Linked DNA regions of Oryctolagus cuniculus. The protein of the gene in region 1 interacts with the protein of each later gene in a pairwise test. Links are inferred from orthologs where the notes say so. Each region holds a gene or a part of one and is shown in the gene's direction. Other genes may lie near its edges.

Evidence for each region.
Region 2: the proteins of EFHC2 (region 1) and TSSK3 interact in binary tests that used the Homo sapiens proteins (3 or more experiments, as listed by UniProt). The two-hybrid records come from large-scale screens. The link is inferred for Oryctolagus cuniculus from reciprocal best matches to the Homo sapiens genes EFHC2 and TSSK3.
Region 3: the proteins of EFHC2 (region 1) and PLOD3 interact in binary tests that used the Homo sapiens proteins (3 or more experiments, as listed by UniProt). The link is inferred for Oryctolagus cuniculus from reciprocal best matches to the Homo sapiens genes EFHC2 and PLOD3.
Region 4: the proteins of EFHC2 (region 1) and CCDC120 interact in binary tests that used the Homo sapiens proteins (3 or more experiments, as listed by UniProt). The link is inferred for Oryctolagus cuniculus from reciprocal best matches to the Homo sapiens genes EFHC2 and CCDC120.
Region 5: the proteins of EFHC2 (region 1) and LONRF1 interact in binary tests that used the Homo sapiens proteins (3 or more experiments, as listed by UniProt). The two-hybrid records come from large-scale screens. The link is inferred for Oryctolagus cuniculus from reciprocal best matches to the Homo sapiens genes EFHC2 and LONRF1.
Region 6: the proteins of EFHC2 (region 1) and COPE interact in binary tests that used the Homo sapiens proteins (3 or more experiments, as listed by UniProt). The two-hybrid records come from large-scale screens. The link is inferred for Oryctolagus cuniculus from reciprocal best matches to the Homo sapiens genes EFHC2 and COPE.
Region 7: the proteins of EFHC2 (region 1) and CACNB4 interact in binary tests that used the Homo sapiens proteins (3 or more experiments, as listed by UniProt). The two-hybrid records come from large-scale screens. The link is inferred for Oryctolagus cuniculus from reciprocal best matches to the Homo sapiens genes EFHC2 and CACNB4.

The regions. Positions count from the first base shown.
Region 1 is NC_091453.1:30,116,092-30,119,591, reverse strand, and holds part of EFHC2 (EF-hand domain-containing family member C2), read left to right. Parts: intron 1-249; coding exon 250-381; intron 382-1,091; coding exon 1,092-1,230; intron 1,231-3,500. UniProt on the Homo sapiens protein: Microtubule inner protein (MIP) part of the dynein-decorated doublet microtubules (DMTs) in cilia axoneme, which is required for motile cilia beating.
Region 2 is NC_091438.1:140,117,617-140,120,939, reverse strand, and holds TSSK3 (testis-specific serine/threonine-protein kinase 3), read left to right. Parts: upstream 1-1,406; 5' UTR 1,407-1,490; coding exon 1,491-1,716; intron 1,717-2,107; coding exon 2,108-2,769; 3' UTR 2,770-2,823; downstream 2,824-3,323. Other genes in the region: protein FAM229A, read right to left, coding at 60-162, 321-467, 548-684. UniProt on the Homo sapiens protein: Serine/threonine protein kinase required for spermatid development and male fertility.
Region 3 is NC_091450.1:43,400,223-43,403,380, reverse strand, and holds the end of PLOD3 (multifunctional procollagen lysine hydroxylase and glycosyltransferase LH3), read left to right. Parts: intron 1-2; coding exon 3-144; intron 145-236; coding exon 237-350; intron 351-448; coding exon 449-517; intron 518-773; coding exon 774-878; intron 879-1,279; coding exon 1,280-1,426; intron 1,427-1,737; coding exon 1,738-1,863; intron 1,864-2,211; coding exon 2,212-2,367; 3' UTR 2,368-2,658; downstream 2,659-3,158. UniProt on the Homo sapiens protein: Multifunctional enzyme that catalyzes a series of essential post-translational modifications on Lys residues in procollagen. Plays a redundant role in catalyzing the formation of hydroxylysine residues in -Xaa-Lys-Gly- sequences in collagens.
Region 4 is NC_091453.1:34,200,843-34,204,841, forward strand, and holds the start of CCDC120 (coiled-coil domain-containing protein 120), read left to right. Parts: upstream 1-1,199; 5' UTR 1,200-1,570; intron 1,571-3,999. UniProt on the Homo sapiens protein: Centriolar protein required for centriole subdistal appendage assembly and microtubule anchoring in interphase cells. Together with CCDC68, cooperate with subdistal appendage components ODF2, NIN and CEP170 for hierarchical subdistal appendage assembly.
Region 5 is NC_091433.1:77,989,200-77,993,441, forward strand, and holds the start of LONRF1 (LON peptidase N-terminal domain and RING finger protein 1), read left to right. Parts: upstream 1-1,442; 5' UTR 1,443-1,549; coding exon 1,550-2,282; intron 2,283-4,242.
Region 6 is NC_091447.1:65,883,247-65,887,255, reverse strand, and holds the start of COPE (coatomer subunit epsilon), read left to right. Parts: upstream 1-1,209; 5' UTR 1,210-1,256; coding exon 1,257-1,382; intron 1,383-2,270; coding exon 2,271-2,333; intron 2,334-3,634; coding exon 3,635-3,735; intron 3,736-4,009. Other genes in the region: probable ATP-dependent RNA helicase DDX49, read right to left, coding at 103-226, 836-950. UniProt on the Homo sapiens protein: The coatomer is a cytosolic protein complex that binds to dilysine motifs and reversibly associates with Golgi non-clathrin-coated vesicles, which further mediate biosynthetic protein transport from the ER, via the Golgi up to the trans Golgi network.
Region 7 is NC_091434.1:90,039,418-90,042,917, forward strand, and holds part of CACNB4 (voltage-dependent L-type calcium channel subunit beta-4), read left to right. Parts: intron 1-690; coding exon 691-767; intron 768-2,203; coding exon 2,204-2,223; intron 2,224-2,437; coding exon 2,438-2,518; intron 2,519-3,500. UniProt on the Homo sapiens protein: The beta subunit of voltage-dependent calcium channels contributes to the function of the calcium channel by increasing peak calcium current, shifting the voltage dependencies of activation and inactivation, modulating G protein inhibition and controlling the alpha-1 subunit membrane targeting.

The DNA.
Region 1 (3,500 bases):
CCTGTAGTATGGGAGGGGTTGGGGAGGTGGGGAAGATGGGGAAGATGGGGCCTCATTAAGGACTTGAAGGATGCTTGGAGTGTAGGCCAGCCCACGAGGGTTGTGATGCTGTGGGAAGAGGACTGTGTGTCTTCCCCTGGATGGGAGAGAAGAACCACACATTGCATGTCTCCTGCATGTGCCCCTGGATGGTATCAGCTTTGTATTTCGAGGCTGTGGCCCATACTTTGTTTCGATTTTGTCTTCCAGTATGGCCCACCTGGAGTCTATCAACCAGGCCAGATCACAGATCGAACAGTTCTCAACGTGTATGATAGATTGTCAGAGATAGGTAGCGTGTTGGACAACCGAGGTGCTAGCTACATGTTGGATAAGTACCAGGTGAGGAACCTTATGTTTGATTAGTGTTTCCCATGGGACTTCCCTGGACCCTGAACCATGGGGGCAAGTTACATATTCTTCCCTTGTGATATTGTAAATGAAATGAATGGCTGTACCAATAGATGCATTGCGGCCGGCGCCGCGTCTCACTAGGCTAATCCTCCACCTTGCGGCGCCGGCACACCAGGTTCTAGTCCTGGGCGGGGCACCAGATTCTGTCCCGGTTGCCCCTCTTCCAGGCCAGCTCTCTGCTGTGGCCAGGGAGTGCAGTGGAGGATGGCCCAAGTGCTTGGGCCCTGCACCCCATGGGAGACCAGGATAAGTACCTGGCTCCTGCCATCGGATCAGCGCGGTGCGCCAACCGCAGTGGCCATTGGAGGGTGAACCAACAGCAAAGGAAGACCTTTCTCTCTGTCTCTCTCTCTCACTGTCCACTCTGCCTGTCCAAAAAAAAAAAAAAAAAAAAAAAAAAAGATGCATTGCACTGCCATTTATCAACAATAGCCAGGCTTTAGTTTATATGTAAATATGTGCATTGTGTTGGTTTTTGCAGGCACTGTGGTGCTAAAATAATGCTTTAAAATATTAATATTCACTCGATTTCAAAAATTTAGTTATAAATGACATCATTGAATTTTTACGAAGTTTTCTTTGTATATAGTTCTTTGGAGATCCATGGTGCCAATGCTGTATTCCTTTGTTTTTATTAGATGGGAAAATCAGACCAAGAGTTTTACAAAGATTCTGACCTGTCTGTAGGAGCTTCCATCAATGTGTGGGGAAGGAAAGTGCTGCTTTGTGACTGTGATGAATTTACGAAGCTTTATTATAAAACTAAATATGGAATTGGTAAGTGATGCGTATGGCTGTTGGAAAACACTTTAAAATCCACAATTTTTGTTCCCTAGTTAAGATTTTACTTTTGATTTTCAGTTTCCAAGCTGATGATAGTTACCGTTTATTGTATATTTGCTATCTTCCAGGCATTTGTTGTCTTATATATTCCTAACAACAAGCCTTTATAGGTAGGCTCATTATACCCATTTTAGGGCTCATTTGTCCAATCATATGGTGAGCAAAGGATAAGTTAAGATTTGAATTTGTGTGCTTTGACGCCAGGGACTTCTGTTTTCCCTTTGTGCCCACTGCCTCGCTATGATAGATGCATTGGTTAAACAATTGAAATGGAAATCCAAATGCTCTGCTCTTTGCTTAATTCTTGCTTACCATGATGAACATACTTACTCATTTTCTCTAGGAAATTATTTTGTACCAGTTTGCTCTACTTTTCCTGGTGAGGTTCAGCCAGGTTTCCAGCTTCTCATTTCTTAGGTGTTAGTTCCATTCTAATCAGGTTACTTAAGGTCAGCATAAAAACCAGCTGTTTATTAAGCACTTAATATAATAAATAGGTCACTGTAAGTAGATTTAGGAGATAATGTTGCATGAGAGGTTTCTAGGCTGGAAGGTGAGCTGAGACCTGCTGTACTATTATGTAGGAGTCTTAGAAGTGGGATTGACGCTGTGGCATAGTGGGTAAAGCCACAGCCTACAGCACCTGCGTGCTGTATAAGCACCAGTTCCATTCCTGCCGCTCCACTTCCATTCCAGCTCCTTGCTGATGCACCTGAGAAAGCATCATAAGATGGCCTCTGGACCCACATGGCAGACCCAGAAGAAGCTCCTGGCTTTGGCCTGGCCCAGCCAGGTCGTTGTGGCCATTGGGGAAGTGATTCTTCCCCTATACTTTATTTTTAAAAAAGATTTATTTATTTATTTGAAAGACAGAGTTACAGAAAGAGAGGAGATGTAGAAAGATCTTCTACCCACTGGTCCACTTCCCAAATGACCGCAACAGCCAGAGCTGGGCCAATCCAAAGCCAGGAGCTAGGAGCTTTTTCCAGGTTTTCCATGTGGGTACAGAGACCCAAGGACATGGACCATCTTCAGCTGCTTTTCCAGGCACATTAGCAGGGAGCTGGATTGGAAGTGGAGCAGCTGCAACTCGAACCCAGTGTCGCAGGCAGCAGTTTTACCCACTACACCTCAGTGCCAGCCTCTTCCACTATACTTTAAATCATCTTTATATTACTTATAGTACCTAATATAATTTGAATGATATAGAAATAGTTATTATACTGTATTGTTTAAAGAATAATTACAAGAAAAAAAATGTCTGTACGTGTTTAGTACAGAGACAACCATCATAGGCCTCTTTTTTGTTGAAATATTTTCATTCATGGATGTGGATCCCATGTATGCAGGGGGACAGTTGTTCTTCTCTGGGAACCTTAGAATATTCAGAACACATTTCCTGGAGGGGTGAGATGGAAGCTAGAAAATGCCTTCGTGAAAGACGAAGTGCTGTGTCTGTAGAATGAAAGGAAGCCTACCTCATATATCTTGGTGTCACCATTGTGTAGCCTTCCTGGCCTTCTGGGAATCCGGATTGTGAGAGAAGGCATACAAAAGAATTGGAATGAAAAAGACTTTGATTTTCACTCTTAGATTCATTAGGGAAATTTGTTCCCCTCGATTTGCATGCCAGATTAGTCACAATGTGTGGGTCCTACAGGGGCCAACTTGGTCCCCTATAGTGGACAGTTGGGTATATTTGCTTTGGAGACTGTGGACTAGAGAAGCCAGGAATGTGCAGGTGGCAGCTGCTGTAAAGAAGCTGCTAGTGGCCCTTAGATCGTTGGGCAGAAGAATTTGCCTTTAATAAATGCAGATGCCTATTTAGAATCAGTAAGGCTTCAGTGTAGATTGAAAACCACATCTTGGATCTGAAGATTACCTTAATAATAAAGGATGTGGTGAAAGATTGACAGATTACCTTAATATGAAGAATATGGTTGAGGTTCCAAAACATATAAGTTCAACATTTGGTTGATCTTTCTCAACTTGATTTTGAGAATCTAAAGTTAGCATTTGAGAAAACGACTGTCATTGTTAGTGTCTTAGGGCTTCTGTAGGGAATTTTCTGAGGCAGTGGAATAATTCCCTTAGCTCACTCCAAATCTAGCTGTCCTGGGTAAATGTGTCCACTTCAAATGCCCTGTGGTTCATTTCTACTTAGTTCTAGTGCTGTTTTTTCTATTTTCTTCTTTTATTCATGC
Region 2 (3,323 bases), on another chromosome or scaffold:
GGCCCGCGGAGGGCCTCGTCCCCGCCCGGCTCCCGGGGAGCTGCCGTGCGCAGGCGCACTCAGGTGGCGCGGGCCCGGGGGCTCCCGCCCATGGCCAGGTAGACGTCGATGGGCACGTGCAGCAGCGTCAGACAGTGGCAGCCCGGGCAGCGTCGAAGCGGCCTGGGGAAAACGGGCCGCTGAGCCGGGGGCTTGGCCTATCTTGGGGTGCACCCAGGGAGTGCCCTGGAGGTCCACTGGGGCTCTGGCCTGGATGTGGGGAGGCCTGGGGGCGCGCAGTGGGCCACAGGTGGGGCCGCGGGACGGGGCGCCGGCCTCACCTGACCGGGTTGTGCTCCGTAGCTACTGGCTCCGGGCTGTCCTGGGACTCTGGGACGGCGGCAAGGCCAGGGGAGTCTCCGGCCTCAATGGGGAATCTCCGACCCTGCGGGGGCTCCTGGGCACTCATGTCCAGGCCCCGGGGCGCTCTGCGCGGGGAGTGGCTGTCAGGCCGCTCCCGGGCCGCCAGGCGACCCCCTCCCCGCGCTCGCCCCTGGGTCGTTCTCACCTGCCGGAGGCCGAGGCCGCTCCCAGGCTGGAGGCAGCTGCCCGAGCCCTGGCCGCGGGAGGACGCTCCGGTCCAGGCGGAGCCGGGCAGGTGTCTGCGGCGCGCCCGGGCTCGGGTGTCGAGGGGGAGAACGGCATTGTGACCCGGGCCGCGGCGCGCTGACCTCACAGAGCCCGTTCCCCACGCCGGGGAACCCCCTGCCGCCCCAGCACTTCGCGGGGGCCCGAGCCGGGCGTCGGAAGGCTCTCGCCATGGCGCCTGGAGACCTGGCCGCGCAGACGCCCTGGCCGCCAGATGGAGGCCGAGGAGCCGGGCACGCCCGCTCCACGCCGACACCCTGGAGCGCCCTCCGCGGCTACGCAGTGACTCGCGGCCCGGCCCGGCCCCGCGGCGGCGGGGACTTAGCCCGCGCTGGGTTTGGCAGAGAGGGTGCGAGCAGGTAGGGCCATTGCCCATTTTGGCCAAGGGTCACACAATATTTACATCACAATTGGGCCGGAGTTTTAAAATGTCTGACCCTCTCCTGCCCCCCACCCGCGGCTGCGTGCAGACGGAGAATGCTCTAGCGCTGGGGCGGCTGTGGATGAAGTCCTTGGGGGGAAGAGGAGCGGGCCGAGGGCGATGGTGCAGTAGAGCTGCCTCGCGGAGGCAGCATGCGCTGAGTGGGTGATAGGAAGGAGGCGCTAGACAGCATGGAGGACTTTCTGCTCTCCAATGGGTACCAGCTGGGCAAGACCATTGGGGAAGGGACCTACTCAAAAGTCAGAGAAGCATTTTCCAAAAAACACCAAAGAAAAGTGGCAATTAAAATTATAGACAAGATGGGAGGGCCAGAAGGTGAGCCGGGGGCCCTCTGGAGGAAGGGAGGGCTGGCTGAGGTGGGAGGGCACTTTCCCCAGTCAGAGCAGTCATTTCCTCCTGGCCTTTAGTCTGGAACCAAGGAATGCAAGCCCTAGGGACCCCCGCCCCCCCCCGGGGGGGGGTCAGTGCGGGAACAGAGGGAAGCTGGGAGTCCAAGAGCATTGCACAGTCCAAGATAAAGCGGCACCAGGAGAGGAGTCCTCAGAGGCAAGATCTGAGCTTGCCAGGCTCTTCCTATTCCGGGAACGAACAGAGACTTGCAGAGAGGCCACAGCCAGGGCTAGCGGAAGGCAGGAGCTGGTGCCAAGGTAGGTGGAGGTGGGAAAAAGGCAGGCAGGGTTCATGGGAAAGAACCGTGGGTCAGGAGGCAGGAGGCAGGGACCAGGGACGGGAGGAGCTGGCTCACCATGCCCTGGGCAAGTATGGCCTTGTAACAGATTCAGTAACTTTGTCTGAAAGTCCCCAAAGCACCTCATCTTGCTACCTGCAGTCTCCCAGACTGCTCACAATAGTGCCGAAGCTGGCAGGGGGCAGTTCCACTGCATAACGTGTTAGCTACAAAAGCAACAGGAGTGACGGTTCGGTTCTCGCAACATCCAAGGGCGAGAACCACATTTAAGAAGGGCAGCCCGAAGTCCAGGAGTGAGGCGCTGGGCCCTTTGACTTGATAGCTCATCACCTCTTGTCCTCTCGTTTCAGAGTTTATCCAGAGATTCCTGCCGCGGGAGCTCCAGATCGTCCGCACCCTGGACCACAAGAACATCATCCGGGTGTACGAGATGCTGGAGTCTGCGGACGGGAAAATCTACCTGGTGATGGAACTGGCTGAGGGAGGGGATGTCTTTGACTGTGTGCTGAATGGGGGGCCGCTGCCTGAGAGCCGGGCCAAGGCCCTCTTCCGTCAGATGGTCGAGGCCATCCGCTACTGCCATGGATGTGGCGTGGCCCACCGGGACCTCAAGTGCGAGAACGCCTTGCTGCAGGGCTTCAACCTGAAGCTCACAGACTTTGGCTTTGCCAAAGTGTTGCCCAAGTCCCGCCGGGAGCTGAGCCAGACCTTCTGCGGTAGCACCGCCTACGCCGCCCCCGAGGTACTGCAGGGCGTTCCCCACGACAGCAAGAAGGGCGATGTGTGGAGCATGGGCGTGGTCCTGTACGTCATGCTCTGCGCCAGCCTACCTTTTGATGACACAGACATCCCCAAGATGCTGTGGCAGCAGCAGAAGGGGGTGTCCTTCCCCACCCACCTGGGCATCTCGGCCGAATGCCAGGACCTGCTCAAGCGGCTCCTGGAACCAGACATGATCCTCCGGCCTTCAATCGAGGAAGTTAGTTGGCATCCGTGGCTAGCAAGCACTTGATAAAAGCAATAGCAAGTCCTCCCCAATAAATCAGGGGAGAAAGCAAACTCAAAACCTGCTTGCAGAGTGGTCATCTGACTTCCCGTGTTAAGGTCACTCCTGCCCCAGCGTACCTGCGACCTTTAAAGATCCTCATGGAACCAAAGGGCTTCACTCAGACTTCCCTTTTATTACCGCTTACAAGTGGTTTTCACACAGGTGTCCGAACTGATTAGTTGACCCCAGACTCTCTCTCACACACACACACACACACACACACACACCCGCACGCACACACGGAGGGCAGGAGAAAAATGACCCAATGCAACTGGAACTATTGTTGCAACTTCCTTTCCACATAAGAGGCCTGCTGGGGGCCCTCTCCCTTCCCTTCCTCATTCCAAAGGCCAAGCAGAGCCTGGGATGAGGGCAAGGGACTTCCTCAGGACCCAGGCAATTCTCCCATGGCTCCCCTCCCCCTGATCCAAACGGGAAGTCACCTCCACAGCGTGCGTCCTGCCCTGGCTCCTGAGAGCTGCCATGGGGGACAAACCAGGTGCCCAGACAGCTGGTGA
Region 3 (3,158 bases), on another chromosome or scaffold:
AGGGGCGTGTGGAATGTGCCCTACATAGCCCAGGCCTACGTGATCCGCGGGGAGACCCTGCGGACCGAGCTGCCCCAGAGAGAGGTGTTCTCGAGCAGCGACACCGACCCGGACATGGCCTTCTGTAAGAGCCTGCGTGACCAGGTGAGGGCTGGCGGGCGGGTGCCGGGGGCCGGCCGCCCGCTGCCGTGGCCAGCGCCCTTCTCACGCGTGCTCGCCGCCCCGCCCCCACCCAGGGCATCTTCCTGCACCTCAGCAACCGGCATGAGTTTGGCCGCCTCCTGGCCACGTCCCGCTACGACACGGACCACCTGCACCCCGACCTGTGGCAGATCTTCGACAACCCTGTGGTGAGTGGGGGCCGGCAGCCGAGGAGGCGGCGGGGGCTGCCTGGGCCGCATCTCAGGGTCCCCCCCATCCTCTGTGTCACCCCATCCTGCCCCCCCAGGACTGGAAGGAGCAGTACATCCACGAGAACTATAGCAGGGCCCTGGAAGGGGACGGGATGGTGGAGCAGGTGAGTCCTGTGGCAGCAGTCGAGCCGACGGGGCTCCAGCCCGCGCGACCTCCTCTGTGTCCGGGGCGTAGCGATCGGTTTATGGGTGAAACTAGGATGTCAAAAAGAGGTGCCTGTTGTGGAGGGGTGGGAACCTGGGGCTCCCGGACCCGCAGGCCGCCCTGCTCTGCCCCAGCCTCTCCTCCCTCTCCCCCTCTGCCTTTGCTCTGTGAGCACCCACCCCAGCGCTGCTCCTCCTTTCCCCGCCCCACCCCAGCCGTGCCCGGATGTCTACTGGTTCCCGCTGCTGTCAGAGCAGATGTGTGACGAGCTGGTGGAAGAGATGGAGCACTACGGCCAGTGGTCAGGAGGCCGGCATGAGGTGAGGGTCCAGGCCTCCCGGGAGGAGGGGACGCTGAGACCGGGGGCGATGGAATGGATGGGGGGGACACACGGGGAAGTGAGCCCCAGGCAGTACGCCTGCATCGAGGAAACGTCACTGGGCCGTTGGCCAGGACGTGCAGGTGCAGCGAGGCGCCAGGCAGGGCAGGCTCTGCCCTCCTGTCCCGAGCAGCAGCTGCCCAGCTTCCAGAGGCTGGGACGGGCAGCCCTTGTCCCTGCCTGGGGGGACAGGAGGGCTTCATGGGAGCTGTGAAATCAGGAAGTAGGGAAGGAGTGCTCCAGGCACGGAGAGCAAGCGTGTGAAGACTTGGGAGCATGGGGGAGGGGGCCTGGCCCGGGCGGGGCGCGGAGGGGCCCCGGCTCAGCGTCCACTGCCCCCAGGATTCAAGGCTGGCCGGAGGCTACGAGAATGTGCCCACCGTGGACATCCACATGAAGCAGGTGGGCTACGAGGACCAGTGGCTGCAGCTGCTGAGGACCTACGTGGGCCCCATGACCGAGAGCCTGTTTCCGGGCTACCACACCAAGGTAGGCCGCTGCGGCTGCCCTCACCGCCCCTGCCACCGCCACCTCTGCCCCAGCCTGCCAGTGGCCACCCAGAGCCCCATCAGCTCCCGTGTCTAAGGTTCTGTGGAATCCAGGTCCCAGGAATGAGACGGGGAGCGGGGACAGGGACCGGGCCAGAAGTAGGCAGGCCGAGACCCGGGGTGCATCGTGGCTTAGCCGCGGCGCCAGTTAGCAGTGAGACCTTGGGGGTCTCGAGGTGTGTGTGTGTGTGGGGGGGTGCTGTGCTCTCCCCAGCAGCCCCTCCCCCCATCCTCTGCTCTCTGCACCTGCAGGCCCGGGCGGTGATGAACTTCGTGGTTCGCTATCGGCCGGACGAGCAGCCCTCTCTGCGGCCACATCACGACTCCTCCACCTTCACCCTCAACGTGGCCCTTAACCACAAGGGCCTGGACTATGAGGTGAGCCCCTCCCCCGTCAGCACACACCCACGTGCATGCCCTGGGGCGGGGGGACCCTTACCCAGGGCTCCTGCCACCTCCCCACCCCGTGCCTTCCTCCCACGTGCACGCCCGGGACAGGGGGACCCTTACCCAGGGCTCCTGCCACCCCCACCCCGTGCCTTCCTCCCCATGTGCATGCCCTATGCCCTGGTGGGGGGGACCCTTACCTGGAGCTCCTGCCACCCCCACCCCGTGCCTTCCTGCCCCCTTCCCGCAGATGCCCCCCCCCCCCCGTGTGGCACCACCCCCACAGCTCAGGTGTGTGCTCAGCCCCCTCGCCTGCTCCTTTCTCACTCCCCCCACCAGGGTGGCGGCTGCCGCTTCCTGCGCTACGACTGCGTGATCTCGGCCCCGCGGAAGGGCTGGGGGCTCCTGCACCCCGGCCGCCTCACCCACTACCACGAGGGGCTGCCCACCACTCGGGGCACCCGCTATATCATGGTGTCCTTTGTCGACCCCTGACACGCAACCACTGTGCCAAACCTTCACTGCCATGGTGCCTTCTCAGGGGAGCCCCAGCCGCAGCCCCAGCCGCCGGAAAGGGGCGGCCGCCGGTCTCCCCGCGTCCTGAATGTGTGCTGAGCGTGCCTGGGACTGATCGTGTCGTGCACCTCCCCCGCCCCCACCCTGCCCAGACACAGCCCCCTCCCTAGAGCCCGCAAGGGCTCCTGGGGAAAGGGTCTCCTGGGGGTGCCCTGGGTGATAAATTATTGAGACTGTTCCCTCCCACTAAAGGAGGATTTGTAACTCTGAGTCCGTGGGTTGTCTGTCATCCCCCCTTGTCTGGTCCTGTTCCTGCCCGCCACCCTGTCCCCTGCCCAGCACTGCGGGCAGAGCGCGGGAAAGGCTGTACCTGCCGGTTCAGGTGGAGGCCCCAGCCCCACGCAGGCCCCTGACCTCCCCAAGGATGGGTGCAGGAGCCAAGGACGGCACTGGCACAGGAGCTGCCCCCTGGACACGCACGTGCTCTGGACCTAAACTTGAACCTGGGCATGACCAGGGAACGGGATTCCCTGCAGGGTCATCATTGGAGAGCTTCCTGGCAGAGGGGGCTGTGAGAGGAGGAGAGACCTGAGAGCAGGGCTCCTTCCAGCCTCTGGGAGACCCCCAAGCCCTTGCGGCTCCCTGGGGGCTGCCCCTGGATCTCCTCTCTGTTCCCTGCTAGAGGCCTTGACGCCACCTGGCCCAGGGCGTTTTGTTGGTTCCGGACCCTTCCCCCTCCCCAGCTGGAGCCCCCTGGCAGGAGGGCGGTG
Region 4 (3,999 bases), about 4.1 Mb from region 1:
CATGCAGGACAGAGATCGGGGGTTCTGCAAGGCAATTTTGTGAGGACAGGAGGGGAGGTCAATGGAAGGTCATTTGATGGTGGTGGAATCCATAGAGCATGGTTTGGAGACAGAGCAAGTGACAGTTGGAATTGATTTGAGGTGCGAGTGACGCCCACATTGAGGGTAGCTGGTAATATTTGGAGTGGTGTTATGGACTCTTGCAGAGCCAGTAGGGGATTCATAGTGTATGGTTGGAGGGTACATGGAGAGTGGTTTGGGATCAATGGACAGTGTTTTGGGTGCACATTGGAGGCATTTGGAGGATGATTTGGAAGTGCTGTTTGAAGGCTAATGGCTTCAGGGCTAACTGCAGACGGTTTGAGGAACAATTTGGGAGTAATGGAAGGTAGTGTTTTGGTGCGGTTTGGAAGTCCATGGAGGATGGATTGGAGGTACTACTTAGGATCAATGGGCAGTAATTTGAAGACATAATTTGGGGGATAATGAAAGATAGCTTACTGCGTCCACTGATAGACCTTGAACAATTTGCTGTTGTTCTTTTGGTTTGCACCAGGATGTGAAAGAAAAATCCCTGCACTTTCTCTTTGTGACAGCCTACATTGAATTGGGGAATACATTTAAAGAAAAAAGAAAGAATGAACGAAAGATAGTTTGAAGATTGAAATTCAGAGATAAATGGAGAGTGATTTGGAGATTGTGGGAACACAGTTGGGGGTGCACCAGGAGATTCTATAGGTGATCTGGGTGTAATTTTGATAGTCATGGAGGGTCATTTAAGGGATAAAGGCTTGGCGTCAATACAGTGTGATTTAGGCACAGCTTGAAGGTCAATGGGAGGTGGTTTATTGGTGCAGCTTGGATGTCCATGGAAGATAAATCAGAGGTCCTGCTTCGGATCAGTGGACAGTACTTTGAGGGTGATGGAGAGTGGTTTGGGGTGCATTTGGGGATGGCGACAAGGAAAGCTGGGAGAGTTTAGAGGTGTGGTGATGGCTTATAGAGAGCAGCATGGGGTACAGCTTGTACCGCCTAGGGGTCCGTGCAGAGTGACTTATGGGGGGGTGCCTATCTGCTCGCCGAGGGGGCGTGGCCATGGCAGGGCTGGGGGAGGACTCCGCCGCCCTAAAGAAAGTCTGTGCGCACGCGCTCCCAGCCTGTTCACTCCTGGCGCTCCCAGGGCAGGAAAATCGAAGAGCCGACCTGGCGCCTGCGCACTTCGTCCTCGCCGCTGCTGTGGTCTCGCGCCCCGCCCCCCGCACCCCCCACCCCGAAGCTCGCGTTCAGCGGCGGCGGTGGTCGTGCCGCCGGGAGCGGGCGGACCCGAGTGCAGGGTGGGGGGCGGGGGCCCAGCGCCGGCGGCTTGGCCGGCGCTCCTCTCCCACCCCCCGGGTGCCCCCCGTCTGGCCCCACGGTAACGGTCGCGCGGCTGAACGCGGCCCACGGGCAGGGCGCGGAACAGGAGAAGGCGCGCGCCCGGGGACGAGCAGGGCGCAGCGAGGGACGGGCGCGCCCACTACCCCTGCCGGCCTGCACCGACCCCGCCTACGCCTCTGGGTGAGGACCTTCGGTGAGTAAGACCCCCGCACACACTTGGGGAGCAAGGGAGGGGACTGGGTGGGCTGAGGGCCCGGAAACGCTGGTGAGGATATACCTGCGCTGGCATTCACGACCTCTGACCCCGTGGCCTCACCCCTGACCCCCTCTGACCTGACTACATGTTATTGAGATCTCGAACCCCAGCCAGCTTTGGCCTCAGGACCTGTGGTCCAACCCCTAACCTAACCACATTCTGGGGTGGTGGGATCTTCATCCTCTGTTTTGTCCCCCTAAATCCAGTCAGGACCCCAAACCCCATCCAGTTCTGTCCTTAGCATCCTTGACTTGATCTCTGATTCTTGATTGAGCCCGTCTCAGCTTTGAGGCTCATCTTGTTATGTCCTGGTGCTTGACCTTAACTCTTACCCAGTCTCTGAACCTCCGCCCCTCTTGTTTCCTTAACCCCAATCTGATCCAGTTTTGTCCTGATTCCTAACCTGACGTAGGTACTTTCACCCTGCCCTGTACTGTGCCCCTGGTCCCTCTCCTTACTCCAGTCTCCATCCCAGCTTACCACCTGTATATGTCCCTCTCTGTCTCCTGCTCTGGCCCCAATCCTGTCCTATTTTTCCCCCTTTTCTTGTCCCATCACCATTCTCATTCCAGTCCTCACTCTCTCCTGGTCTTTTCCTGTTCCTGACCTCTATCCCTAACCTGCCCTTTTTCCTGTTCCCTCCCTTGACAACTGGCTTCTGTTCTGTAGGGATGCTGTCCCCCGCCCTGCTGTTTTGTTGTACTTTGCCTCTAACCCTGTCTTGAATCTTAGCCATCCCATCCCCTGAGCAGTGTTCTGGCTCACTTCCTGTCCTGCCTCTTGACCTCCATCCCAAGATGTTTCTGTCTTGTCCTCTGTACTCCTTCCCTTCCTGTCGCTTTATCCCATCCCAACCCTAGACCCCTCTTCCACACTCTGTCAGATCTCCCTCTCCCTTTCCTAATACCTACTTCCCATCCCCTCTGAGTTCAGGGCAGGGGTCCCATTATTCCCTGCCCATAAACTTGAAGGTTCTACGGGTCTTAAGACCTCTGAAGTACATCACAAGTGCTTTCCTTAGCGTGAAGAAGCAGCCTTGTGAGTCTTGTGTAGCTGATAGGATTTTTGTATGGGATTTCCCACACCTGCACCCCAGTGATCTCACATAGACCTTGCATTTCTCGCCCTGCCCTAGGAGGGCCTGGAACTGTTCATCAGCCCCCTGCCCTCCCCGGGTGTGAAAGAACACCTTCAATTATTCATTGATTCTCTAGAAGTTGGAGAGTCTGAGAGGTCTGCGTCATGTTTCCAGCTGTGTTTTGTTGGGGGGCTGCCTCACGTTGGGAGGAAGGGTTTACAAAATATGCAGGACTGAGGGCCCTAGGGGTTTGTCTGAATCTTCTAGATCATGTTACCTCCATCCCTGACCTTGATCCTGGGTGTGGGATCCCTTACTTTCCTCCCCTAAAAAAAAAAATCTATTCTAGGCCAGAGGCTTCAGGACTTGGTAGGGGTTTATTCCCCTTTTCTTGGAAGTGAGCAATAAACATCTTGGTGCTAAGTTCACCTCATCTCTGGGAGGCTGGTCTGGGGAGGTGGGAGACAGGCAAGCATTGGATTGAGAGAGTGAGGTCTATCCAGCAGTAGCAATGACAACAATACCATGAGCTTCCTTCGCCTTCTCTCTTCAGTCTCCTTGATTCTGAGGATGGATGAGGAGAAGTTAGAGCATAATATGTTACTCAATTATGTCTTGAGCTTACATTTTTTTTTAAGATTTATTTACTTATGAGGCCAACAGTGTGGCGTAGCAGGTAAAGCTGCTGTCTGCAGTGCTGGCATCCCATGTGGGTGCTGGTTCCAGCCCCGGCTGCTCCTCTTCCGATCCGGCTCTCTGCTATGGCCTGGGAAAGCAGTAGAAGATGGCCCGAGTCCTTGGGCCCCTGCACCCACATGGGAGACCTGGAAGAAGCTCCTGGCTCCTGGATTTGTATCAGCGCAGCTCCGGACATTGCAGCCATTTGGGGAGTGAACCAGCGGATGGAAGACCTCTCTACCTCTGCCTCTCTATAGCTCTGCCTTTCAAATAAATAGATAAATCTTAATAAAGATTTGAAAGGCAGAAAGAGAGAGAGAAAGAGTGAGAGAGATATCTTATATCTGCTAGTTTACTTCCTAAATGGCCGCAATGGCCAGGGCTGAGCCAGGCTGAAGCCAGGAGCCAGGAACTTCTTTCAGGTCTCTCATGTGGGTGCAGGGGCCCAAGGACTCGGGCCATCCTCCACTGCTTTCCCAGGCATATCAGGAGGGAGCAGCTGGGACTCGAACCAGCACCCAAATGGGGTGCTGGTGCTGTAGGTGGAGGCTTAACCTGCTGCACCACATCACTGGCCTCAAGCTTACATTTTTCATAGAAGAGTAGTGAG
Region 5 (4,242 bases), on another chromosome or scaffold:
TTACCACTGCACGTTTGGCAAGCTGCTGTTACGGACAAGAATGCATCCCGTAAGTCAAAGGGCACGTGCATAGGGATACTCAGTCTTTGGGATTTGTAGCTTCAAGCTGGTCTGTGGGCATGTGACTCAAGTCATCGTTCTGCTGGCTGAGAGGTCGCAATTCAGGGGGATTAGGATTGGATTTAAGTTCATGCCTGTGAATACACACCGAACAATTAGGCCACGGGGCTTGGATCCCACTACAACTTGCTGTAGGCGCAATGTAAATGAAAAGTGACCTTGTGTGTCTCTGCACCTTGTGTGTCTCAGTATTTTCTCGGTCAGCTTTTTGTTCATTCCCTTTTGGGGAATGAATCTATAACTATTATCAATACCATAACATAGCAGTTAAATCCTCTCTCTTCATTACTTGTGTGAATTCGGACAAGTAAACTTTTCTTTTCCAACCGTCTGCAAAGTAACTAAAAAGTTTTAAGTCTCTTCCAACATTAACAACCCAGAACCCTATATTCAAAACTATAAATATTTTCAATTGAGAGTTTTACACTCGCTGCTGTCAACTTCCAGGAAGTATAACCCATTACCTACAAGTGGGATCATTTCTTTTTGTTCTGTCTGTAAAGCTGCAGACCCAACTCGGGATGTAGGGAGAGAGTACCTGCCGTGGGCAAGGCATCTTTCCTTGGGGAATACAGACTTCCCCCAGCTGGAAGGGGGATACAGCCGGCACCCCAAGAACCCGCGAGCTAGGAAATGAGTTTTGAACTGGAAAGGCCGCGGCCACTTGGCACCAGAAAAAACTGGAGGGAGCTGCGGACTTTTGCGTTTGTGTCTAATGTAGACCGACGGTAGTCGAGTCACGAAGTCGTCAGACGGCACTTGTCGCGGGCCCGCCACCTCTGTAACCTGAGGCATACACCTAAGACGCCACCCTGCACCTGACGACCCGGACTCCGCGCAGGGCGAGGGCGCAGGTCCCCAGCCCGATGGGGCAGTGCGTCGGGGGAGCGCGGGCGGCGTGGGCCTCCGTCCCGCGAGGAGGGGGTCCACTCAGCACAGCAGCGCCCACCGAGCAGAGGCGAGGGAGGGGGCCGCTGCAGGCGGGGTCGTCGGCGGGGAGGCCAGCCCCGGGTGGGTGATAAAGGATCCTTCGGGCTTTGTTTAGTAACACGCCAGGCCCTGCTCTCCCGAGAAACCAATTAGATCCCCGCTGCGGGATCATCTGACCTGCGTCCCCCACCCGCAGGGGGCTCGGAAGGGGCGGGGCTAGGCGGGGCCGGGCCGGCGACTCCTCGGGAACGCGGCCGCGGGTGGTGCGGGGGAGTCCCGAGCGCTGGACCCGGACCTGGGCCCGCCCCTCGGCAGAGGCCCCGCCCCACGCAGGCCCCGCCCCCGGGGCTTCCCGGGCGCGCGCCGCCCCGCCGTGTCCGCGCGCCACGCCCCCCTGCTCGCGGGCCGCGTGCGGAGCCGCGCGCCCCGTAGGCTCTGGGACCGTGGCGGCGGGCGGCGGCGGCGGCGGCGGCGGCGGCGGAGCAGCCGTCCGCGGGCCATGTCTTCTCCGGCCGTGGCGAGGGGCTCTCCGGGAGGGAGTCGGGAGACGGCCCTCAGGCCCCGGAGCCGAGGCCGGTTTTGGGAAGTGGGCGGCGGCGGCGGCGGCGGCGGCGGCGGCGACCAGCTGGAGCGCGCGGCCGCGGAGTCGGAGCGCTGGGAGCTGCTGCTCCGCCGCGGCGAGCTGCTGGCGCTTGGCGGCCACCTGAAGGGAGCGCTGGAGGCGTACGCGGCGGCGCTGCGCCGGGGGGCCCCGGTCAGGCCCGAGTGCCTCGGCACCCTGGTGGACTGCCTGGTGTTCAACTACCGGCTCCGCCACGGGCTGGGCTGGAGCGCGGCCCCGGCTGCCGGCGCGGGTGCGGGCGGGCTGCTCAGCTGCCTGGGCTGCCGCGGCTTCCTCAGCGAGCCGGTGACGGTGCCCTGTGGCCATAGCTACTGCCGCCGCTGCCTGCGGAGAGAGCTCCGCGTCCGCTGCCGCCTCTGCCGGGACCGGCTGCCGCCCGCCGCCGTCGCCAGTGCCGCGGGTGCTGAGGGGACCGGCCCGCGGCCGCCGCCTCTGGCCGCCGCCATCGCGGCCTCGGACTTCAGAACCAGCGTCGTCCTCAACCACCTGGCCGAGAAGTGGTTCCCGGGTCAGCGCGAGCGAGCCCGGGCGGCCGGCCGGCTCGGGGAGCTGCTGCTTCAGGGGCGCTACCGGGAGGCCCTGGCCGCCGCCTGCGAGGCGCTGCGAGCAGGTGACGGCGCGGGGATGCGGCGCGGGCCCGACCGACCCCACCCTCCTTTCCCGGGCGGGCCGGGTACCCAGAGCGGGTCTGCGCCCTGGGGCAGGCTCGCCCTGCTTCCCCGGGGGCCGCTGGGCACTCGGCGTGCGGGATCTCGGGGTGCTCGAGGGTGTGGGAGGGGGCGGCGCCCGGGGTGCTTCGGTCACAATGGGGATCGCCCTGGGAGCCCACTGTGACGCGGCGCGGGGAGGGGCGCGCGGGCGCGGGGTTCCCTCGGCCGCGGCCTGGCGCTCGGGCGCGCGCGCGTGCGGCGCGGAGCTGCGGGCCCCCGGGCCGGAGGCCGCCCTGGCGCGGGATGGGTGGGAGCTGGGGGAGCCCGAGCGGCCGCCCGCTTCCTGCCGCGCTCTTTCCGGGAATTGGCGGCTCGGGCCCGGCAGGGCCGGGCCACCCCGGGGGTGGGAGACGACATCGCGGCGGGGCGGGGATCCCCAGCCGAGGTTGGGCGGGCTAGGTCTACCTTCCCGACCCGCAAAAGTCACCGGGGCAATTGGAAGCCGCGGGAGGGCAGAATTGCATAAGCTGGGGTGGAGGGGCGTTGTGTAACGGGTGACGTCCGGTGGGCGTGGCGGGAGCTCGGCGCCCGCACCCAGTGCCGCGAGGCCCCTCCGGCCGCGGTGGTCAGCTCCTACCTGGAAGTGCCCGCGGAGTGGGTGCATCTTGAGGCGTCCACCTGCTCTTCTCAGGTCACGCCGGTTTCATTGTGCTGACTCCGGAATACGCCCAGCCCAGGGCAGGGATGCAGAGGTAGTCTCTAACCCAGAGTTACCGCCTCGCTTCCGTTCGCCTTTCCACTTAAGATCGAGCCCAGGGGGAAAGGCCGTGTAGGGCTTTTGTCTCTTCCTTTGTCTCCAGGACGCACCCTCGGCTTCCCAACTTCAGTTAGCACTTTTCCCAAGGCGGTTTTACATTGTGCCAGACGCGCCTGTAAAACTTCCGTTAGAAAAAATGAAGTTCTTGGATCAGTTCTTTTACTAGGGGGGGGGTTTCACTACCCCCTCCCCAAGGACATTATCCAGGGCAACATATCTGGCAGTGTCTAGGGACATTTTTGGTCCCCACCTCTTGTAGGCGTGATGCTGGTCCCGGCACTGTGGGCACTGTGCGGCTGACCTGCCACCGCCAAGAATGCAGGCCCCAGACGACCATCAGTGGCACTGTGGGCGACACTTGTATGAAGTGGATTGCAAGATTTTCATGTCGCTGTGTTGGCAGGAAATAATGCTTGGGGGAAATAATCCCCAAGGAAATAGACATGAAATATTAAACTGACTTTGGGTGTTAGGTAAGTTTAGACACTGTGGAACTGAAAATACCCTCCTGTGGGTGCTTAGTCATATTGAACCAGTGACAGTGTCTTGAGTTATTTAGAACCTTCAGAGTTCACAGCACAAACTTGCCATGTTTTTGAGGCCTTTTAGTGTGTCTGTGGAGGAGGCAGTTGTAAAATATGGTAATAGTCTCAGAACAAAAGGAAAATAATTGGGTATTAAATTCTGATACACCTGACTGCCTCTTGTGGGCAAATAAGCCAGAATTGGCTGGATAGAACACCTATCACAGACCATGTGAGAAAGCAAGGGCTGGAGCAGTGCAGTGACTTGCCCCAGTCACACAGCTGGCTGCTTGGAGAGGCAGCTGTGTGTCCCTTTCTAAAGTGGGCCTTGTGTTCATCTGGTCTTTATAGGTCATCCACTCAAGTGCTCATGCACATTTCCCAGGAGGGTTTTCTATCACTAGTATAAAATAGAGGATAAAACTCACCAACAGCACTATTCAGTATCTACGCCTGACATGGTGATATGACATTCTTTTAAATTAGGTTCTTTATAAGCTTTGAGGTCCTATTCCTTGGAAGAATAGTGAACACATTACAGATTTAAGTCTAGCTTCATGTTCTGTGACTAATATTTTT
Region 6 (4,009 bases), on another chromosome or scaffold:
CCCCACTTCCAGTCCGGCAAAGCAGCGGGAGGTGGGCCCGGGGTGCTTGGGCCCCTGCACCCACACGGGAGAGCTGGGTGGACGTCCCGGGGGCAGGCTCACCTGGTGGGCGTCAGGACCAGGCAGAAGATGCCATAGGGGTCCTCGGACAACTTTTGCAACACGGGCAGGACAAAGGCCGCCGTCTTGCCGCTGCCCGTCTTGGCGCAGCCCAAGCAGTCCCGACCTGGGAGAGGGCGAGGCGGCGTCAGGGCGGTGGGAGGGTGGGGCGCCGCCCACAGCTAAGAGGACCGGGCGGCCCCTCCCCTGCCTTTTCCATTCCCGCGGCGGGGAACCGACAAACCTAGAAGGCAGGGGATGCTCGGACCCGTTCAACAGAAGGGCAGTTTTCCGGGAAGCAGCGGCTTGGACTGGCACCTGGGCTGAGCTTCGGGAATCCAGAATCTTCCCCCACCCCGACCTGCCCCAATTCCAGCCCCTGGATACCCGATGTAGCCACTCCCTCAACCTGCGCGCCCCTGCGGAACGGCACAGCTGGGCCGGGTCAGAGGCGCGCTCGCGGGGGCGCAGCCCGAGGTGGCCCCGGGATTCGGACAGCCTCAGTGCCCCTCTGTCGAAGGCGACAATGCCAGTGCTGCCGGGCCCACGCCATCGATCGCGCCCGCCCCGCGCTCCGATTCCAAAGCGAGTCAGTCATGCGTGCGGCCTAGGTGCCGGCACCGACCCGGGCTCGCCAGTACCGACCAAGGCTGGCCCCCAGCCCCCTGGCACCTGCCTGGCTGCGCAGAGGCAGCGAGGCGCATCTGGGGCCGCCTCCGGGGGAAGCCGCACTCACCCTCCAGGATGGCGGGGATGCAGCCGAGCTGCACGGGCGTGGGCTGCTTCAAACCCAGCTGCCGACACTGTTCCACGAGCCACGATGACAGCCCGAGCTCCGAAAAGCCAGCCATCCTCGCAGGCGGCCACGGGGGCCGAGGTAAGTCGCGCTTCCGGCGCGCTCCGATGACGTCGCGAAGCGCCCTTCGGTTCCCAGCCTCGAACACAACCTCCTCCACGTCCCCGGATCCCGTTTGCTCACGGAAAAAGAGTCAAACTACAACTCCCGAAATGCTCTGCGAGACGCAGGAGTGCGTTCTCCATAGGGCTCTCCCATTGGCTCGGGACGTGGAAACTACATTTCCCAGCGTGCTCCGCAGCGGGCCCTACTTCCGGCCGACGTGTCTTCCCGGAAGAAGAGCGGGTGAGAGGACCGCGACATGGCGCCCCCGGCTCCCGGCCCGTCCCCCGGCGGCTCCGGGGAGGTGGACGAGCTGTTCGACGTGAAGAACGCCTTCTACATCGGCAGCTACCAGCAGTGCATCAACGAGGCGCAGCGGGTGAAGGTGCGGGGGCGCGGGGCCGGCCGCGGGCTGCGCCCTCTTTGCCCTCGGAACTTTGCGTTTTCTCCTCGCCTCCTCGACGTCCTGTGTCCACGCGCGTCGTCCGAGCGCGCGGGCCCGCAGTCAGAGCCGTGACAGCTGTGGTGTCGCCCGCTCACGCTGGGGGGCGCTCGCGGCGCGCCTGGAGGGCCGGGCGAGCCGGACAGGCGGGCACCGGTCAGGAGGCAGCCCGGCGCGGCAGGTGCACCCAGCAGGGCGCCGGGGGCCGAGAGGGGCTGTTGCTTCCAGGGTCTGCTTTCTTCTAATTTTTTTTTTCGATGATTTTACGTTTTGGGCGTGGAGTTGAGGCGCCGCGGGACATCCCACGGGAGCGCGGGTCCGATCCGGCTCCCTGCTGTGGCCTGGGACTTGTGCTCGGGCCCCGTTTATTGGTCTCCATCCACTTGGAAGCGAGCGAGAAAGAGAGAGCTGTCGGCTTTTTCACTCCCCAGATGGCCGCGATGGCCAGGCCACAGCCAGGAGCCGGAAGCTCCATCGGGGTCTCCCACGTGGGCGGCAGGGGCCCAGGGGCTTGGGCCATCGTCCACTGCCTTCCCAGGGAGCTGGCTCGGAGTCCGCGCAGCCGGGGCTGTACCCAGCGCGGGGCACGGGCGTCACAGTCACCAGGGGCGGCTCAGCCACAGCGCCAGGCCCCTGAAGCCCCCCGTGTGTGCCATCGCCGAGCGGGCATTGGGGTCACCCCAGGTCTGGCCCCTTCCACACCCCTCACCCCCGCAGAGGCTCTCTGGGGCCTCCGGGAGCTGGAGCCAGGGCCGGGCTCAGCCCTGACCCTCCTGGGGGGCCGGGGGCTGTGGTGTGGCTGTGCGTGCTGACCCGCCCTCGTCCCCACAGCTGTCCAGCCCAGAGCGAGACGTGGAGAGAGACGTCTTCCTGTACCGAGCGTACCTGGCCCAGGTGAGTGTGGCCCAGGACGAAGGCCAGCTGGGCATAGGAGAGCGAGAAACAGTGCCGGCCCGGGGCCCGGGGTCAGGCCGGAGCGGTCACGGCTGCCGCGGGGAAACGCAGCAGGTGGGGCACGTGGCCCGTGCACGCGCCTGCTGCCGCCCGCCCCTGCACCCGCCTGCTGCCGCCCCGGCGCCGGGACCCGCCCAGCATCCGGCCCGAGTGGCTCCCCGGCTCCGCCTTCCGGGGCCTGGGCACCCGGGTCCCGCAGGGTTCGCGTCCGCGGCGGGGGACGCCTGGACCGCCCGCAGGAGGGGCGCAGCGTGTTCACGCACGTACACGAGTGTGTCCTGGGCCCGCGTGAGCGCGCCTGTGTCCATGTCCCGGCCCCAGGTGTCGCAGCCCTGCTCCCGACTCCGGGGGCAGCGCTGACGGCTGAGTGATGGGGTCCCTGCTGCCGCCACCGCGTGGGAGACCCGGGTGGGGCTCCCGGCTCCCGGCTGGGGACCGTGGCCGGCACGGGGGGGGGGGGGGGGACGAACCAGTGGACGGGGCCTTCCTTGTTCTCTGTGTCTCAAAAGAATGTGTAAGACTTTTTAGAATCATGTTCAAAAACTTTTTAAAAAGATTTTTATTTGAGAGACACAGTTACGGGGGGGCAGGGAGAGAGAGAGAGAGAGAGAGAGGGAGGTCTTCCGTCTGCTGGGTCACTCCCCAGATGGCCGCAATGGCCGGAGCTGTGCCGATCCAAAGCCAGGAGCCAGGAGCTCCATCCGGGTCTCCCACGCAGGTGCAGGGGCACAAGCACTTGGGCCATCCTCCACTGCTTTCCCAGGCCACAGCAGAGAGCTGGATGGGAAGTGGAGCAGCTGGGTCTCGAACCGGCGCCCATATGGTTTGCTGGTACTGCAGGCAGAGGCTTAGCCAGCTATGCCACTGTTCCAGCTCCTAAAAATATTTTAAAATTATGCTTAAAAAAGAAGCCGTCTAGGAAGGAAGGAAGGAAGGGAGGTCAGAGACGGACGGCCCCTCAGAAGGGACCGCCGGCCTGGGGCTGGGTGGGGTGCGCCTTGTACAAGACCCGGCCCCTCCCTGCCTCCCCCGGGGACACGCCCACCTCCACCTGTCGCCTCCCCACCGGGGGTGGACGGCTGGGCAGGGATAGTGACCCCCAGGGCCTCCAGCTAGCAGTGCACGGTGTGGGCAGCAGGGGAGGGCGCACATGGCTACGACCCCGGGACATGTGGCCCCGGGGTGGGGGTGCAGGGCCGCCCTGTCCGGGGGCCGCTGACCCGTGTCTGTCCCGCCCGCAGCGGAAGTTCGGCGTGGTCCTGGATGAGATCAAGCCCTCATCGGCCCCCGAGCTCCAAGCCGTGCGCATGTTCGCCGAGTACCTGGCCAGTGAGAGCCGGCGGTGAGGCTGGGGCGGTGGGGGGTGGGCCTGCTGCTCTGCAACTGGGCACGCGGCGGGGCCCTGCCGCTCACCTCCCTGTGCCTCGGTTTCCCTCAGCTGCCCGGGGCAGCAGTGGCCCTGTGGGGAGGGTCAGAGGCGACGAGGTTGGTGCGGGTGTCTCGGCCGCGAGGCGCCCCGACCCTACTTCCGAGCACATGGGTTGTGTTCAATGCTCAGAGAGCCTCCTGGGGCCAGGCCCAGGCCTCGGGCAGCCCCTGCTGGCCAGTGCCCACTC
Region 7 (3,500 bases), on another chromosome or scaffold:
TAAGAAATGATTCCTCCAGTATTATTGCTTTTTTAAAAAAAAAAAATTTAATCTGCTTGAAAGGCAGAGTGACAGAAAGAGTGACCACCATCTACTTGGCGGTCACTTCCCAAATGACTGCAACAGCCAGGGCTGGGCTAGGCCAAAGCCTGGAAACAGGAACTTTATCTAGGACTCTCATGTGAGTGGCAGGGGCCCAAGCACTTGGGCTGTCCTCTTTTTTGGCTGCTGTCTCAAGTGCATTAGCAGGAAGCTAAGCCAGAGGCAGAGGAGCTGGCACACAAACTGGCACTCCAGTATAGGATGCGGGCACCTCAAATGGAGGCTTACCCTCATTGTGCCATAATGTTCACCCCTTGCTGATTGTTTTGAGCTGTGGCTGACATCTGACTTGTGTGCTAGCGACTGGTGTTAGGTTAGCAAGCAGTTCAGAACATTCCTATCAGTAATTCTTTTGCCTGGTTTCTATATTAAATCACTGGTAGAAATACTTTTGCAAAGTCTGTCTGGGTTCTCAAAAGTTACCCACTTTCTCTGAGAAATAGAAACATTTGGACAGATTCTTGAAGTTCTCTATAGCAGAATTTAGTGTGTTTTGAATTATTTAGTGGGCTGAATGCCAATGAAAGCGTTGTACTCTCCAGAAATGTTTGCACAGAGCGAATCTTACGTTCGTTTTCTGTATCCTAGGAAATCAAGTGGAAATTCTTCTTCAAGTCTGGGAGAAATGGTATCAGGGACATTTCGAGCAACTCCCACATCGACCGGTGAGGGTCTGTTACATTCCTTTCAATAGGATACATTCCTTCCTTAATATTTGAGTATGCATGCAAGCATTTTTGCTAATTTGGAAATGAGTTAAAGGCTTCCTTTACAAAGGTTCCTTTATTTCAAATTTCATTGCTCATTTCCTTCTTGTGGTAATTTGGTTTGATTTAAAGGTGAATAATAGCACTAGAAATTCAGATCTTTATAATTTTGAAAAATCTTATCTGCTCCCCAGAGGCCATAACTATCCATTGTATGAATTAGTCTGTGACAAGTTCGTTCTTCTACCCAAGAACCCAGCAGATTTTGAGATGATGAGGGCCACTAAGAAAGGGGAAAAACATTGTAGACTCAAGAAAATGCTCTATTTCAGTCTCCATGTGAAACTTTGAAAGTGTTAGTACAATGTGGGTGATGGAGACTTGGTGGGTTGAGGCTGGGAATGAGGTGGGGCTCAAGTGAGGTGATTTCTATTTTGACAGCAGACATCCCTGCCCTGGAATTAACAGTAATGAGGAGATGGTAGTATCTTCAGAAAATATGGACATATTCATGCAGGGATTTTCTTCCTCCACCTTCCCTGACCTCTCTGTAGGCTAATTTCATTCTTGCTCATAGTTGATGCTGCATTAGGGTAGCCCTCATATTAGCAATTCAGAATAGCAAGTCCAAAGGTCTCTGTGTATTGAAATTGGTTTTAGAACAGTTGTGAGGATCTGGATCCTTATTCATATGAATTTCTCCTGAACTCTAACACTCTGAGCCAATCTAGCTCCCTGGGTTGCTTCCTCCAACCCCCAATAAACTGAGCGTGCTCAGATAGCCACAAAAGCACTTTCATCAGACACTGAGTATATTTTGCTTTACTCCCATTGTAGGACATTGCAGCTTATTATTACTATAAACTGGAAAGAACAGAAGTAACTGATTATAAATTTATTTGAAATATAAAAGCAACATAGTAAGAAAACATGTGTCCATTTCCTAGAAAATGGGCAAAAGCAACAAAAAAAGAATGCCTATTTATCATAGGGTCACCAAAGTTACACACCCCAAAATAGTCATTTTAGCCCACTTGTTACTATGCTGCTTTTTATCAATTTTTATCTGTTCAACTTGTTCCCAGCCACACTGGGTGCTATGTTCTGCATGGAAAGAAGCCCATGGTTAACGGCTGGCCCAGAACCTCCAATGTCATTGTGAACTACTTTCCATCACCCCCTCCCCATGTGAAATCGGGACGTATGTTCATGTGTGCTTCAAAATCAGCACATCCAGAATGAAATAATAGAGACAGTGTCTGCAGAGTGGGTGATGGGGAAGTCAGCAAGATAATTACAGGGACAAATACATGCCTGCATCCATCTTTTAAGGTCATGTACTGTCACTTTCAGAGATGACATATTTTGATATGGCTCTCATTGTTGTCTTTTAGCAAAACAGAAGCAAAAAGTGGTAAGTTGTGTTTCCTTTTTAAATCTGTTAAGGTTTTATATATACGTGCCTGCGGTGCTCCATTTCAGTGACCCCAGTGGCTATGACATAAGGGATGCGCCTGCTTGGGGAACCCATGGTCATCACTGTCATTCACAGGGCGTTGGGAGTGTTGTGGCTGTGGAGGAGGGATGCTCAGCCTCAGCTTGTCCATGTGTTGAATCCTCTTTTTCAGACGGAGCACATTCCTCCTTATGATGTTGTGCCGTCGATGCGTCCTGTGGTGTTAGTGGGGCCGTCACTGAAAGGTTATGAGGTACAAATATCATCTGTTTCCCGTCAGTTCTTGGTTGAGAATCTTGGAGACAGGCACGGGGGTGCTTGCTGTTCCAGGGTCTGGTCACATTTAGGTACTGGTGGAAGCCAGCTCTCAGTATGGGAAGGTGGGTGGGACAATGTGGAGTTATGTGACCCTGTGCCCTTTCTTTCCTTCTCATCTTTTATGCATTACACTGTTTAGAAATATCTCCCCCAAATCATCGATACTGGAAAATTCTGATCAAATATTTGCTCACCATTAAATTCAAAGAAGAGGACTTTTCTCAACCATTCCTGTTATTATTAGAAATAATAGAATATGAACAGCACAAGGGAACATAGAAGCAATCTTCTTGCAAACCTAGACCCTCACAGCACCAACAGATCTCATCCTAATGGGTGCCCAAAACAATGGCAAATGTGTCTGCTTATTTATTTTACAGGGCATTTAGATACAAAACCACCAAAAACGTTGGTGAATTTTGGAGAATTAAATAATATCATGTAGCAAGGAAAAGAGTAAAGACTTAGATGTATGATGTTTCAGATGTTGCCATTTTGACCTTGCGCTAGTGTGATTAAAACAGGTGGACACTAAATCCGAAGTGGGCAGCCTCCAGGACACAGTTCCCACTGAGCTAATAAGCACTCAGTACACTTTGTTGAATGAATTAACAAATCTCCTTGGGGGCAGATCTAAGTATATTCTCTCCCTCCCCCCTGTCTTTCTCTCTCTCTCGCTCTCTCTCTCTTTCTCTGAGTTGGAAATATCAGAGAGAAGAGCAGAAGAGTAGTGTACAAAAGTCCAGCCCTGGGCATAGAGGACTCAGGAAAAGGTCAGATGATCTCAGCACTGGCTGTGGGGTTTCTAGGTGTTCCTCACTGGAGGCCAACACAACTCAGGTGCACCAAGGATGGCCAGCACCTGTGCACAAAGCCAGCCTGCAGTCTCCTGGTGGCAGTCCCCTCCCCTAATGTGG